Styela clava: one gene and its partner. The protein of the gene in region 2 binds, or shares a complex with, the protein of the main gene of each other region. Links are inferred from orthologs where the notes say so. Each region holds a gene or a part of one and is shown on either strand. Other genes may lie near its edges.

Evidence for each region.
Region 1: the proteins of apoptosis-inducing factor 1, mitochondrial-like (region 2) and mitochondrial intermembrane space import and assembly protein 40-like are in contact, whole or in part, in a cryo-EM structure (PDB 9GQZ), measured with the Homo sapiens proteins. The link is inferred for Styela clava from reciprocal best matches to the Homo sapiens genes AIFM1 and CHCHD4. Residues at the interface, in NP_004199.1 of Homo sapiens: Pro345, Tyr347, Ser500, Ser501, Leu502, Pro503, Thr504, Val505, Gly506, Val507, Phe508, Ala509, Lys510, Glu558, Asp559, Tyr560, Asn602, Ala605, Lys606, Phe608, Asn609, Ile610, His611; in NP_001091972.1 of Homo sapiens: Arg5, Glu7, Lys9, Asp10, Arg11, Ile12, Ile13, Phe14, Val15, Thr16, Lys17, His20, Thr22, Pro23.

Annotation. Positions count from the first base shown.
Region 1 is NC_135258.1:10,889,664-10,895,522, reverse strand, and holds mitochondrial intermembrane space import and assembly protein 40-like, read right to left. Parts: upstream 1,755-5,859; 5' UTR 1,634-1,754; coding exon 1,597-1,633; intron 1,521-1,596; coding exon 1,419-1,520; intron 980-1,418; coding exon 609-979; 3' UTR 596-608; downstream 1-595. Other genes in the region: pantothenate kinase 3-like, read left to right, coding at 2,831-3,058, 3,600-3,819, 5,772-5,859.
Region 2 is NC_135263.1:617,414-625,681, reverse strand, and holds the start of apoptosis-inducing factor 1, mitochondrial-like, read right to left. Parts: upstream 3,062-8,268; 5' UTR 3,032-3,061; coding exon 2,947-3,031; intron 2,256-2,946; coding exon 2,122-2,255; intron 1,143-2,121; coding exon 1,067-1,142; intron 411-1,066; coding exon 301-410; intron 1-300. UniProt on the Homo sapiens protein: Functions both as NADH oxidoreductase and as regulator of apoptosis.

The DNA of each region.
Region 1 (5,859 bases), on a different chromosome or scaffold from region 2:
CTCAAAAAAATTCATTCTTCCCTAATAAAGAATATTTATTTTTAAAAATCCACAGTGGAGCGAGCAGTGTTACCTATTAGTAATAACTATCTCTATTGCAAGCATCTGGTTTTAAAGTAATTTTTTGCCTTCATCTAGCGGCCTGGGAAGTATAAAATGCTCCCCCCCCCCCCCCAATCACAAAATAAACACTTAAGTGCACACCTTATATAATTAATTACTAGTCCAGGCTGCTTGCTTTTAATGCTACTCTATTTATCATTTTTTCGCATGGTGTTTTTAGGCTAGAATTAAGCACTTAAAAATTTGTTGTTTTTCAAATATATAATTTTCTTTCAACTGGGTAATGAGACTTTATTATTTTGTTAGAAAGCCGTAGTCGCAAAAGATTGGACTAGCATTTGTTCATGTGAGAGTACCGCTGAAAAGCACTTAGGACCCAGCGGCCACAATTCAGTTATGTTTAATAATAGATAAGAACAGCCCTTAGTGGGGAAACTGCACTTTGAAAGCATTCACTCACTTGTGGAATCGTGTAAAAAAATGTAACAAAGTATTCCAGAAAATACCAATCAAACTTGTCTTAATACAGAACCTCGCAAACAAACTCATTTTTCTTTAGAATCTCCGATATATGCAGCAGCAATAGCAGGTCTGTTTTCGGTCTTCATATTAACCGTTTCTGAACCATTTGAGTTCTCAATTTCAGTCTCATTTAAAGCATTAGCTTCAATATTTAAATTATCGTCATTGTCATTTTGCTTTGAAGATGATGGTTTATAAATGTCTCTATTTTCTGATAAACAATCTTCCCATTTAGAAAAGTTATCAAAACATTTTTCCGCAAAAGAATCTTGGTCGTCTCGATTTTCCACCCAACATGTGAAAGCTTCACGAAATGAGGGGCCACAAGGTCCATTTGGTAGATTTCCAAGACATGGACAATCCCAGTTTATATCTCCATTCGGAAGTATTGCGCCTAGGAATAATGAAATATTGTCAATAATTTTACAATACGATTTCATACCCATACCACAAGGCAAATGAAATACGACGAAACTATATGGAAAATCATGGTGTGTGGCCTTGATATTAGGCAGCCAGAAATAAGTACAGGAATTGTAAAGTCAAAAAGATATGCATTCGTAACAATTCTTCAATCAAGTCATATGCAATATCAAGAAAATTAAACATGAAAAATATAGCCACTACTTGATGAGGACATTAATAATGTGGTTTGAGACGGGTACAAATTTTAAGTATAGGGCAGTAGGGGTATCCACCGTTTGAATCTTATAGAAATAATGTAATTAATATGCGTCAAGCTCAAATCCCATGGATAAATTGCTTATAACATTTGATTTACGACCTATACTCGTATATTCGAGCATTCAAATAATAAAAAAGGCATTGCTAACCTTCATGGCTGGTATCTACATCGCTGGGATTATCCGGGAGAAGTGTGACCGTACTGGGACTGGACAAATCGTCCTCTGTCGCGAATATTATTATGTCTTTCCCTGAACAAACAAAACATTTTATAGTCATATTCCATGCGAGTGAGAATAGCTTTTAGATGAAATAACTGAAACTAACCTTCTTTACGGCAGTAGGACATTTCTTTTATCAGCATCCAAGCGCCCTAACTTCTAAACCGGAGCACCTGCCAGACCAGCGTGACTTTCACTGTTTGCAGTCACCGATATGCCCCAGTGGTTATTTAGACAGGGTATAAAATTAAAATTTCACAATATTTATAAAAGACATATACAATTAAATCGAATTACAGTAAAGTGTGGTAATTAAAATGTTTCTTGGGTAATTTTGTCACACAGATTAAAGTACGAAAATTAGCCATATGCATCATTTCAAACAGCCTCTAGCTTCCGACAGAGAGCAATAATTCGTACCTCATGAGTCATGATGCGCAAGCAAAGCGCGGACCGCGTTTCCCAAAATCCAACCAAAACAAAATCACCATTCAATTCGCGTTCGACAACGCCGGTATCGCGTTCTTTCGTTAATGTTACTAATGGAAATTGCATTATTACTGCATTGCCATTGAAAGACTGGGCATATTTATTATTTCAGAATACGTTGATTTTTAAACGATCTTGCATTTTTGTATTATTTTTATCGCTCCGAGATTGTGTGACTTGTGTGTACTGTGTACGGTAGTACCGGGTACTAACATATAAAATGATCTATTCAATTTGATCGTGGATTTAAATTGCTGTATTGTTAGTACGGTAACCAATGTTATTAGAGGGCTTCGAATAATGAAAATGCAATGAATACTTTGGTGGTGTGGAATTTGTCCCTCTTAAATTTAGATCAAATTGAATGTGGTTCTGAATGTAGCCTATGAAATGTCCAATTAAAACTATAACTAGGCTATATAAAATTTAGTATCAAAGTAGGCTGGCTTGATTGATATTGCAGCATTCGCCCTGTCTGTGATGCTATGAATGCATGTACTAAATTTGGATATTGGCATTAATAAGGTACGGTATCACTGTATCACCCCTTGATATGTTGAATGATGCACAACTTACAGCGGCTGAGGTCAGTAGTTTATTTTATCACATGCCGAAAGCACACATTGTACAAACATAATTAAGAAGATAAGAGAAATGCATTTCAGTGTGAAATGAGACGCAATGAACCAGTGATGGTTATCGAACAGCATCACCTAACAGCCTAAGACGGAGTCTAACATTAAATCATACTGAGAAAAAAGAGTCGAACATAGAATAGAGGTATCTATAAGGTCTTGAAGTTGCTTAACATTGCTATTTATTCCTTAGTATTTTATATTATTTATATAAAAATGGCTACAAGCGATGCCACAAATTCACCACAAGGACGTCAACCATTTCCTTGGTATGGGATTGATATAGGAGGTACTCTGGTTAAACTCGTTTATTTTGAACCAACTTCAATGACGAAACAAGAAGTACGAGATGAAGAAGAATCTTTGAAAGTAATTCGTGAAACCTTGTTATCGAGTATTGCGTATGGACAAACTGGAGTGCGGGATGCTCATTTAGAAATCAAGGTTCATGGTTTTTTGTTGCTTTGTTAATATAGCTGTATAAAAAATCATTTAAGTTATAAAATCAACACAGTTCTCCGGTTTCAAGGATAGCCCCTAGGTTAAAAGACATCAATAATAACAGTCAGTGCAAACCCCTCATTTACGAGACAATCTTGGTATTCATATTGATACAAATTGGCAAACCGTCAGTGCGCAATGAACTAAAAGGAAGCGCAATCTTGAGATGTCACCATTAATAACAAGCTATTGTGAATTAATAGGAATTGAATTTGTAGAATGTTTGAGATAAACATTGTTTTGATTATTACCGTAATAGTCTTTTTTACAGCACGAGGTAAAACTCAGTTTATTTGTTATGTGAACGGCAGAGGTTAAATTTAAATTTAAAAATATTTTAAGTTTTTTTAAAATCAAAAATGTTTACTACCGTACTTTTTTAAATTTTCCATTGATTTTGTGCCCCCTGTTTATAGTTTTACTTTTACCATGGAAGAATAATCAAACAATGTCCCTGGTTCTCTAACAGTTTGATCTTTTTCAGGGATTGAAATTCAACGGTTATGTTGGCAACATGCACTTTCTTCGATTTCCAACACACAGGATGGATAGTTTTATTCGAATGGTCAAAGAGAAAGAATTTTCAACCATGCATAATATATGTCATGCAACTGGAGGAGGAGCTTATAAATTTGAAGAAAAATTTTTGAAGGAGATTAATCTAAGACTCAACAAGTTGGACGAATTTCAATGTCTGATAAAGGGTAATTAAAATTTTTTTTGTTTACTAATTCTGGTAGTTTTAACGAGGTTTGATTTTAAATTTTTTTCTCATCTCTTTCAAGTATTTATATTTTATTCTATTTTGGTGACATATTACACATTATGTTGAACACACTCTAAAATAAAATGAATGTGATTCTTGTAACCTAATCTTGTCGTTGTCGCATCAGCTCTTGTAGCACAATCAAAAATTTATGATTCAATGGGCTAAATTAATTACAACTCTTAAACTTAATTAATGCGTTGCTATTTTTATCAACTCAATAAAGACGAGAAACCTACATGAAAGTTCCTCGAAACAAGAGCCTAGCTCTTAGACTAGAAATTCCCCAAATTGCCCTTCAGTCTGTCAATTGAAAATTTTTCCACAAGTACCCTTCAATGGCTACTCATCATATATGGTAGTTGCTATATTGAAGAAGTTAATAATAATCAAATATCTTTAAATACACCCTAGATCTAAGTTAATGTTGATATGCCACGAACGACGAACCAAATAAAAGATTAAAAATTTGTAAAGATAGCACATTGCAACTTTGTAGAGAACCCCTAAATATTTCCAAAGATAGTTTAATTATGTGCCTAGCTACAGTTGAGGTAAGCGGGCATTTGTGTTTTGCAGGAATGTCTTAGTGTATTATGGAACTTGACAAAAATCAAGATTTTTATAAACTTTTTGTGGTAGCAATTATGGTTTCAATTAACGAAGTTAGATTTTTGCAAATAGCTTATTGATAAAACTGACATATTTTAATAATACCGACGTCATCATGTTGAAATAGCTTATTAATAAGATATGTTTGTTTGCTAGAATGGAATAAACTCGCATATTATGTAAATTGTTGTCTTTCTTCTTTGTCTCATATTTTGTTCTCATATTGTGACCAAATATACCAATTGATATTTTCAATTTTTTGCGGAAATATTTCAATTTTAATTAGTACGTTTTCACTTGCGTGTATGACAGTTTATAATTTGATATTGAGAATAGCCAGATTTTTTTTTCATCCATTGTATGTAATATACAGTTGGAGTTCCTTAGTTAAGGTATACTTTTGCCAACATACCACTAATACCAATGAAATTATGAAGAACATACATCATTCCAACTATGATTGCAGCACGACACCAGTTATATTACCGGTACTATCTTTTACTATATGCACCTAAGAATATTATGTAGTTTCAAGTATTGATTAAGAGCCTTAATATGTGTTATGCTCCAAGAAAAGAGTTCCGTGCCTGTACATCTGTCTCTTATGTTTTTGTTCTGATCGATCAGGATGTATACTGCAAGTCAATCCTTATGAGATGATTTTTGTTTGTTTTAATAAGCCTCGAAAGCTTTTATAAACAAGTTCAATGTTGCATTGTGAGGATTCTTTCATTCGTGGTAAAATTTAATATTGTCGTATTATTCATTTTAGTCAAATTCAATACATAGGAGTTTGTTGATTTCATATCATGGAATTCAGCTTTCAAATTTGAATTTCATAATATTAATAAGTTCAATAAATAACATACTAAAATACGATGTGAATTCACAAGATATGTCAAATTTTTCAAGTATTTGACATTGTTATTTTGCCAAAGGGCCAAAATTTTAAGAAAATACTGTAACTAAGCAAAAATTCAAATATCATTTAGATATTTTCAAAATTTTTTCAAGCCCTTAATAAATAGTGAATGACTAACTAATATTTTTTGCTGTTGTGGCATGTTTTTACTGTGTTTTTTCATAATGCATATTAGTTTAATGTCATAAATGATTTGTGGATAACCGTCGGTTATATTTGTGCTAAATAAATAAATTTGCTTTTATGCAACTTCAATGGTTCATAGTTACTCTAGATTGGGATATCAGAATTAATTGCTCTTTAAATACAACTGTAAATACTTTGTTAATAAGTAACTATTTTACTGTTTTCGACAGGAATTCATTTTATCGACCACAATACAGAAGTCAATGGAAGATCTGAATGTTTTTCTCTTGCACAACCCCTAGACCCTGGCGGACTGAA
Region 2 (8,268 bases):
ATCTGCTTTTTTTGAGTCAGAACAAACATCATTGAACAGGTACTCCCGTAGCCGTAGAATGCGAACCAAGATGGCGGACACCGGAACGTAGTATGTGGTCCAGGTAAGGGTATTGCCTAAACCTAAATGTTATTCTAATTTTCTATATCTTAGTTCTATTAATACGAGTTCAGGGACTTGCCAAGTGACTCCCGTAGTATGCGTACCTGGAATTATGGCCTAACTCTAACATGGTACACGTACTACGTTCCGATGTCTGCCATCTTGGTTCGCATACAACAGGAGTACCATTGTACATACCTTTGCAGTTGGATCTCTCTTCTTAATCGCCCTCATGGCTGAGTGTGATGCTGTTCCTCCTCCGATTAATAAATATTGTGTTGATTCTGGAATCTCTGGAAGAACAGGCTCTGGATAAAAGTTAGGATATTATTTTCAAAATTTCAAACGACCCAGTTTTGGGTCGCGACTTATAAGTTGCAAAACACTGATAATCCAGGGGCGTTTGATCTAGGAAAATAGAGAATTAGAAGGATGTTATGAGCCTGAGTTTGGCATATATCAATCCAGGACATAGAAGTCGGGGAAAAATTTACAGTAGAATCCCAACGTTGAACGGTCAACGTTGAAATAACTCTGCGTTGGAATTGGACACCTGACTGTGTAGCCGTACCATGAAGTTTAATATTATCCTGGATACAGCAATAAGGAGTTTATTATGCACTCCAGGGTCAGCCTATTCAATTTGGTATAAATCAGAGCCTCTCAAACTGGGGGTCGCGCAATCAATTTTAGGGATCGCAAAAAGTTTACCAATTTCACATAGAGTCAATATCTATTTTAATTTTGATTCGAAACACAATTATTAAAAATAGTGCAAAACATAATTATCACGATTTCGGGAGAATACATAGGATCGGAGAAGAGGCACGCAGCCTACACAACAATGCCAACGTAACAGAGTAGGCAGAATATTTTAATATATTAGAAGGGGTCACGAGCTTGAAAATTTGCGAAGCCCTGATCTAAATAACTTAATTATATTTTGGTATATCTGGGAATTCACCTTCTTCAGTTTGGGCTTCTTCATCATCTTCTTGTTTTTCTGCAGCTTTAGCTTCACTGGAACATTGGAAAGCAGCCTGTAATGTAAAGTATGCTATCTGTTACCAGCATAAGATAATTCTCTATTTTAATTACATTCCAAAACAGTGGTTTCCAAAGTTGAATGATCGGGGCCGAAATTAGAAGCGAAAGGATATTCGCGGCCCGCAGAGGTTCTGGTATATATAATTTAGATATCGGTAAAATCGAATTGTTACAAATATACATGTAATTAAACTGTGATAATGACATAACAATTTGTGGTATTACGAAAACAAAAAGGAAAAAACAAGTGTTAAACCATTTCACTTAAATTCGTCAGACCGTAATGAATCGTTACGCGGGCCATGATTGGCCCATGGGCTGCGGTTTGGGAACCTCTGTTATAAAAGGGCATGTTTGAATTTATAATATATCGAATATATTCTGAATTGGTTCACGTAATCACGTTTAACAGAAACATATAAAATGGGCAGTGATTTGACTGCTCCGCTGTTTTTAATTTTCAGAACAAAGTAAATAGAGGCTCTCAATAATAGCGCGAGATTTCAAAAGCTCAAAAAGGCAATTCAATTCTCAAATGAAGTTATTCCAAAATCAAAATGTAGAATTATGAATACCGAATATAAATAATCTCGAATAGAAATTGGAATGATTCAGGTAACTCTGAACCAGTGGTTCCCAAACCACGGCCAGTGGGTCAATTACGTCTCGTGGTAGATCCAATATGGCCCGTCGAACTTAAGTTAAACACTTCATATGTTTTTTACATTTTGGTGTTTTAGATACCGGCAACCGTTAGATCATTATCCCAGTTTAAGCGCCTTGTTCCCCTTGCAGGCGCTTCCCTCTCCTGGCACGCTAAGATCCTTCTGCTTCTAATTCAGACCCCCGGCCTAGCGACTTCGAGAACCATTGTTCCAATTTCTATTAGCTCTTTACACAGAGCCTTGTTCAGAGTAATCCTATGCACTTTGTGCTCATGACCTAGTTTTTAATCTATAAAAATCCACTTACAGCTCCAAAAAATATCATTCCAGTCCCGATACATAGTAGCGAGCCGATATGAGCCGGAAGATCTAATGAACGATGGGAGTAAAGCTGTAGACGATTTGCCGGCTCTTTCCGAGTGAATCTGTATGTTCTGGAAACTGAAAAAATGAAATAGTCTTTAAGACAGTGTTCCCAACTGTGTAGAAATCAGTGTTTCAATAATGGGGGAGGGGAATGAGGGTTGAAACCTCACCTCTTGAATGTAAAAAAAGGCATTTTTCTGTATCTTACATAACAATTTTTCATAGTTTGAAACGCTTTTCAGACCCTCAAGAGAGTTGGGCCTGCTGGCTGTTACAATCTATTTCAGAACCCTGCTTTGAAAATTCCTGGGCCCTCTGTTTCCCCATCAGTGGTCTCATTTTTCTGGTCTAAAATAATACGAGACACAAGAATCATGCGCAGTGGGGCGTTCCCAACCATGCATCGCGAGAAAACTTTTGAATGTGTCCCAGCCTGCCAGGGCTTGGACCTAAAAAATGATCAAATCTGGTAAAATCAACAAATTATGCATTTATAAAATATGGATATTTGTGCAAAGGATTTAATGACCAAATCAATTGGAATTACTGCTAAAATTAATTTGCAAATATGACAAAATGTGCGAAATCTACAATCATACATAAATAATATAAATTTTATGAACAACCATTTGCTTTCACCCTGGAGTTGTTTTGAAATGGCTTGGACTTGACGCAGCATAAAAATATTCTCAATGTCTGCTTCAGCTATGCTTAAATTGTGACACCTAATCCCAAAACACTTTAAAACCAAAAACGAACTACTTACATATATTTTGTGATGTTTCCTCATTTTTCTTTAAATTTCTGACGAAAATTCGTGCTTGATTGCACGTCCTACCACATCTATACATGATTGGAAGTTAATTGTCTGCAAAAAATATTTTAAATGCAAAGTTAGATCAAAGTTAGGTTTGAGTCATTTTATTTAGGCGACTCGAGTCACTTCGGCAAAGTTCAATAAATTAACGGCCTTTTTTGTTGGATTTTGAAAGATTAGTACAATATTGCAAAATCCAATATTATTCAATAAGTAAAAGTAATGACAGAATGACAGTAAAGTACGGTGCATATTGCAGTTTCAGTCTAATTCAGTGATTACAGAATTAGAATTAGGTATATTACAAGAATTCTACATTTTTTACTGCCTGTGGTGACATTCAGATATGACTATACCGTACCGGTATAATTTCATTCTCTGCCACTGGCGGCATGATAGCGCTATGAATGTTCCAAGACCATGCATCTACTGTACTAATAACTGGAACTAATATGTACCGGTAGTAGTAGTATTTTATTTCGTCAACAATGTCGAATAGTTTACATGCAACATGGTCACCCATTGCAGTATTGCCATACAGCCGTAGCATAGGCCACCAGGCAACATCAACACGTACTCTGCTAATCTGGCAAGAGATTCGTAATATGAGCACACCGTCCTATCGTCTTTCCTCTCTACGAGGATAAATAAAATAAAAATCCTATCTTATTGATGCAAATTTGATTTCGTAATCTCGCATTAGAAACACCGCAGCGCACATTTGGCAACTTTCATTTGACCCCTGAGATGTGTCGGAAGCGTGGGGGTCAAAGTGAGTCGTGTTGCGTAATGAAATAAATCGATAATTTTCAGATCTTCCGACAGTTTCTAAGCCTTCTCATTTGTTTAAATGCATTTTGAATAATATTTTATAGATTTTTACATCGATTTTTCAACGGATAATGACAGATTAGTCGAATAATATGACGTAATATGTCCGTGGCCGAACGACGAGTGCAGGGAGTCCATATTACATCATACGACTTTAGTGGATTTGAATTGTGGACGGTATTTACAACATATATGTATTTTCAAACAATTGAAGTTGTTGTACAATTGTTGTTTATTTTGAGTGAAAGAAAAGCCCATAAAGCGACTCAATCGAATGGCGAAACGCGGCCCTCACAAGTTAATGTTTTGACAACACATAATTGGTTAGCAAATCCCATACCCGACATGGACTGGTAAACGGACGAGAGGCCGTGGTTAGCAATATGATTAAGCCGACCCATCGGCTTTCCTCTCGCCAGGATAACTATGTAAATTCTATCTTAACATAGTGAACAACAGAAAGCATGATAAAATAAGCAAATAATCGGTTTTGCGGCTCGGATTGGTGTCATACGCACCGATTGCTCACCATTGAGAGCGAGATTAATTATAGGACTCTAAATTCCGCAATGGAAAACTGTCACCTGTGGTCCAGTAAATTTAAAAGATCTAATTACCCATTTCTAGTTGAAGTCATTGTATAAGCTTGACCAGATCTGGATAATGAGTGGAAGGCATTCGCAAAAGTGTGTCCGTGAAATACAGGTCACAACTGCGTCGCTATAACATGGAAATAATTGTGTTGTGATAGTAGGAATTACATTACCCTAAAACAAGGTTTCCCAAACTGGTGTCCGTGGACCCCTGGGGATCCGTGATGACTGCACAGGGGGCCCGCAACGATTTAAAAAGATACGGATCGAACTTTAATGATTGATTTCAATCAAAATGTCATTGTATCTTTCTAATTTATCGTTGTGGACGATTATTTCTTGCTGCGCTTTGCAACGACCTGCATGTGCGAGACATCATTCTCAGCTCTTACCAATACGATAGCAAACTACAGATTCTAGACTTGCCATAGAGTCGGACCTAGTTTGTGTGCCACAAATTACTCCGAAAATTGTGCAGAGAAAAGCAACCTCATCCATCATATGTCGTTTGTATCGTGTTGTAAATAGAACATTGTCCTTCCTCGCTGGTTAGGAACAGAAATTGATACGGTATAAGGTGTGGGTCCGTCAAAACTAAGATTGATAAATAGGGGTCCGCGGTGTAAAAGTTTGGAAAACACTGCTCTAAAAACTAAAAAAACAGCACAACTTCTGCTGCTCCTGCTATTTAAAGTGTCGGGTTGCAGTTTTAAATATATATATATATATTTAATCCGGAATCTTGCGTCTTCTGATCTAAAAAAAACCTTGGGATACAAATGTTTACTTCGGAAACGTAAATTCCGTTTTTTTTTTATGTTTCAGTTAAATTATTACTTCTCATTTTTCCTAGTTTTATTGCTTGATAAGGTTATTTCACAGGATGTGTTTTGACCTTGTTGAGCATGAATTGTTTGAACATGGCGGGTTGTGGAATATATCAATCAAAATTAACACTATGAATACCTCTGGAATGATAAAAAGGGGGTCAAAGGTTGGAAACTACTGGTCAAGGACACTAATCCGCCATTTCCCATCTAAATCTGAGAGTCTACATTGATTTTGTTTAAATATATTGTTTAAACTAAACATATTGTTTAAATTTATTGCAATATCTAATAGTTTCCACTAACATTAAATTTATTACAATTAAATAACCATTTTTGCTAGTATTAGTTTTGCGTTCATAATTATTCTTAGTTTATACAACTGAGACAGTAAAAGACAACTAAACTATCGCATACGGGTTCCTCGAGCTTCTGGAATGTTTCTGGTTCCGTTCCACCAAAAAGATTGGAACCACTGTCGAATGGCACAATGCATTCACGAGTATCGGCAAGATCGATATCGGCTAAGTGGATAACTGGGTTCCATTACATTTGAACCCACGTACATTTGAACCCGTAATTTGAACCCACGACAAGTGCACCTGCATGCTATTGCACCTATGAATTTTTTTTACGGATATTTAAATCCATACTAACCCTAACCCATGGGTTTTAGCACCCGAATATAGATTGAACCCGCGGATATACGGGTGCAAAAGTACGAGTTCAAATGTACGGTCACCGGATAACTGCAGTAGGATTTTCATTTATTCCCGATCAAAAGGGAAATTTAATACGGCGCAATAAATATGACGATACACGGCCTCTCGTCCGATTACCTGTCCACATCGGGTGTCGAAAGGGCCAACCTGCATATTTTTTCTTGTATATATTCATGTCAGAGGTGTGCAACTTTTACAGGCCGGCCAAATACGAATAACTGGGCAAACTGCGGGCCGCATCTCTATTTAACATGGGCTTTCTAGTGGTTACATGCATAAAAGTTGTCGAGCCAGCTGTTAGCGCTAAAATGAGCAAACTACGGCTCGCGGGTAAAATCCAGATCCAGACCAAATTGGGTAATTTGATCTGGCCCGCCTGATGCTGCCACAGCCAAACTAAAATCAACTTTTGATGTTTTAGCTGAAAAATAGTTCAGGGAATTTGTTGAGATTGCGTTCAGATTTAGTTTTGACACGAAGCTTATTGTTTTCCACTTTTGCTTTTGTAAATATTATTTATAAAATGTTACTTTTACGTCACACTTACATGGCCCGCCAGTCTAGGTGGGTCTGGTCCCTGGTCCAAAAACCTTGCCCACTCTTGTGTTAGAGCATTGAGCTTCATATGCATCAGGTATAGGCTTTGCAACGCCAAACGGATAGGAAGTTCTTACGCGTACCAGATTAAACCAAATTAAAAACTTGTTTCGCTGGCCGAACATCATTCGAAATTGCCACCTCTCTGCGGGCCGCACAATTTTCCTTTGTGGGCTGCAGGTTGCACACCCCTGATTTACGTTATTGATTTGGTTAGATTATTTTTTTGACAGTCGGTAGGCGACATGTCAAACCCGTCCGCATTGCGAGAAGGGTTGTTGACGCCAAATATATCTTCCAGACTATGGTATATAAATGACAATTTCTAAAGTGACAAGACCATGGTTAGCGATGTACACAACACTAGAGTATTCCCCAGCAACAAACTATCACAAAGCAAATAATTTTTCCGCGTGTAAATAAAATAATATTTACTTTCTCGGCGAGAGACTGTTCACGCCACACCATTGTTATCTCATAAGTTAAGATATGTGATTGTTTGTGACATCACAGAAACCATAACTCAGATAGTTCGCTGAGCGTTCACGCACAATAAGAAACATGTTTCATCAATAACTTACTAAAAAGAAAATTTTCTCGTGTCAGAATTACATTGTAAAATAATATCTTCTAGAAAAATTGAAGGATTCATCTCGACATTTGCCGTACAAAAGGAAAACAAGATGGCGGCGATTCGAAATTTTCGTCTCCACCGATTCGAATAATCTACTACCCGATTCGAATACGTTCATCAATTTGTTCAAAGGCTGGAAGGGAACATAGCGTATAATGTTCGATGGCCATTAAAACTTGTCATTGGGCTATTTTCCTGAGTCCTGTGAGGACGATATTTCACATGTTGTTGTTTTTATATTTCATGGGAACACCTAAATATGACATCTTGTTTACATTTTCCTATGGCATCTGTTACAATTCATTTAACATTTGCCCGGAATTTTGTTGGCATCCCGAAGTCATTTAATAATACACACTCGAGCATTGCTTGCAACGAGTTTGAAGAATACTGCTCTATAAGCGAACCGCACCAGTTTCCTTGTATGTTTCTTTTTTACTTTAGAGTGAGCATCCGTAACTTCACTCAGACATCAATCTCCTTTACTTCTGAGTGAGTGCGCGAGACTTTGCTTAGAGATGAATCTCCTTTCATACCCTGAGTGTCCGTAACAATGCTCAGAGATGAGTTTTCTTTACTTCTGAGTGCCAGTAACTTTGCTCAGAGATAAGACGTCATTACTTCTGAGTGAGTGCCCGTAACTTTGCCCAGAGATGAGTCTTTTTTACTCCTGAGTGTGTGCCTGTAACTTTGATTAGAGAAGAGTCTCTTTTACTTCTGAGTGAGTGCGCAAGAGAGAGTTCGCTCAGAGATGAGTCTTCTTTACTGCAGAGTGAGAATCTGTAACTATGCACAGAGATGAGTCTCTTTTATTTTTGAGTGAGTGCGCAACCCTGCTTTGATCAAATTTTGTGGAAAGCCTAATATCTATACCGGGGCCATACACGCTCTAAGAAATTCATCGCCCCAAACGAAAGTCGTAATTTGAAATTATAATCTGACCAACCGACGAGCGCGTCACGTATTACATTGTCTGCGACATAATGCGATAATAGGACGTAGGCACGTAGAGCAGGAAGATTACTATATTGTTTGAGAACTAAAGATAGTAATGCCTAAAAATGACT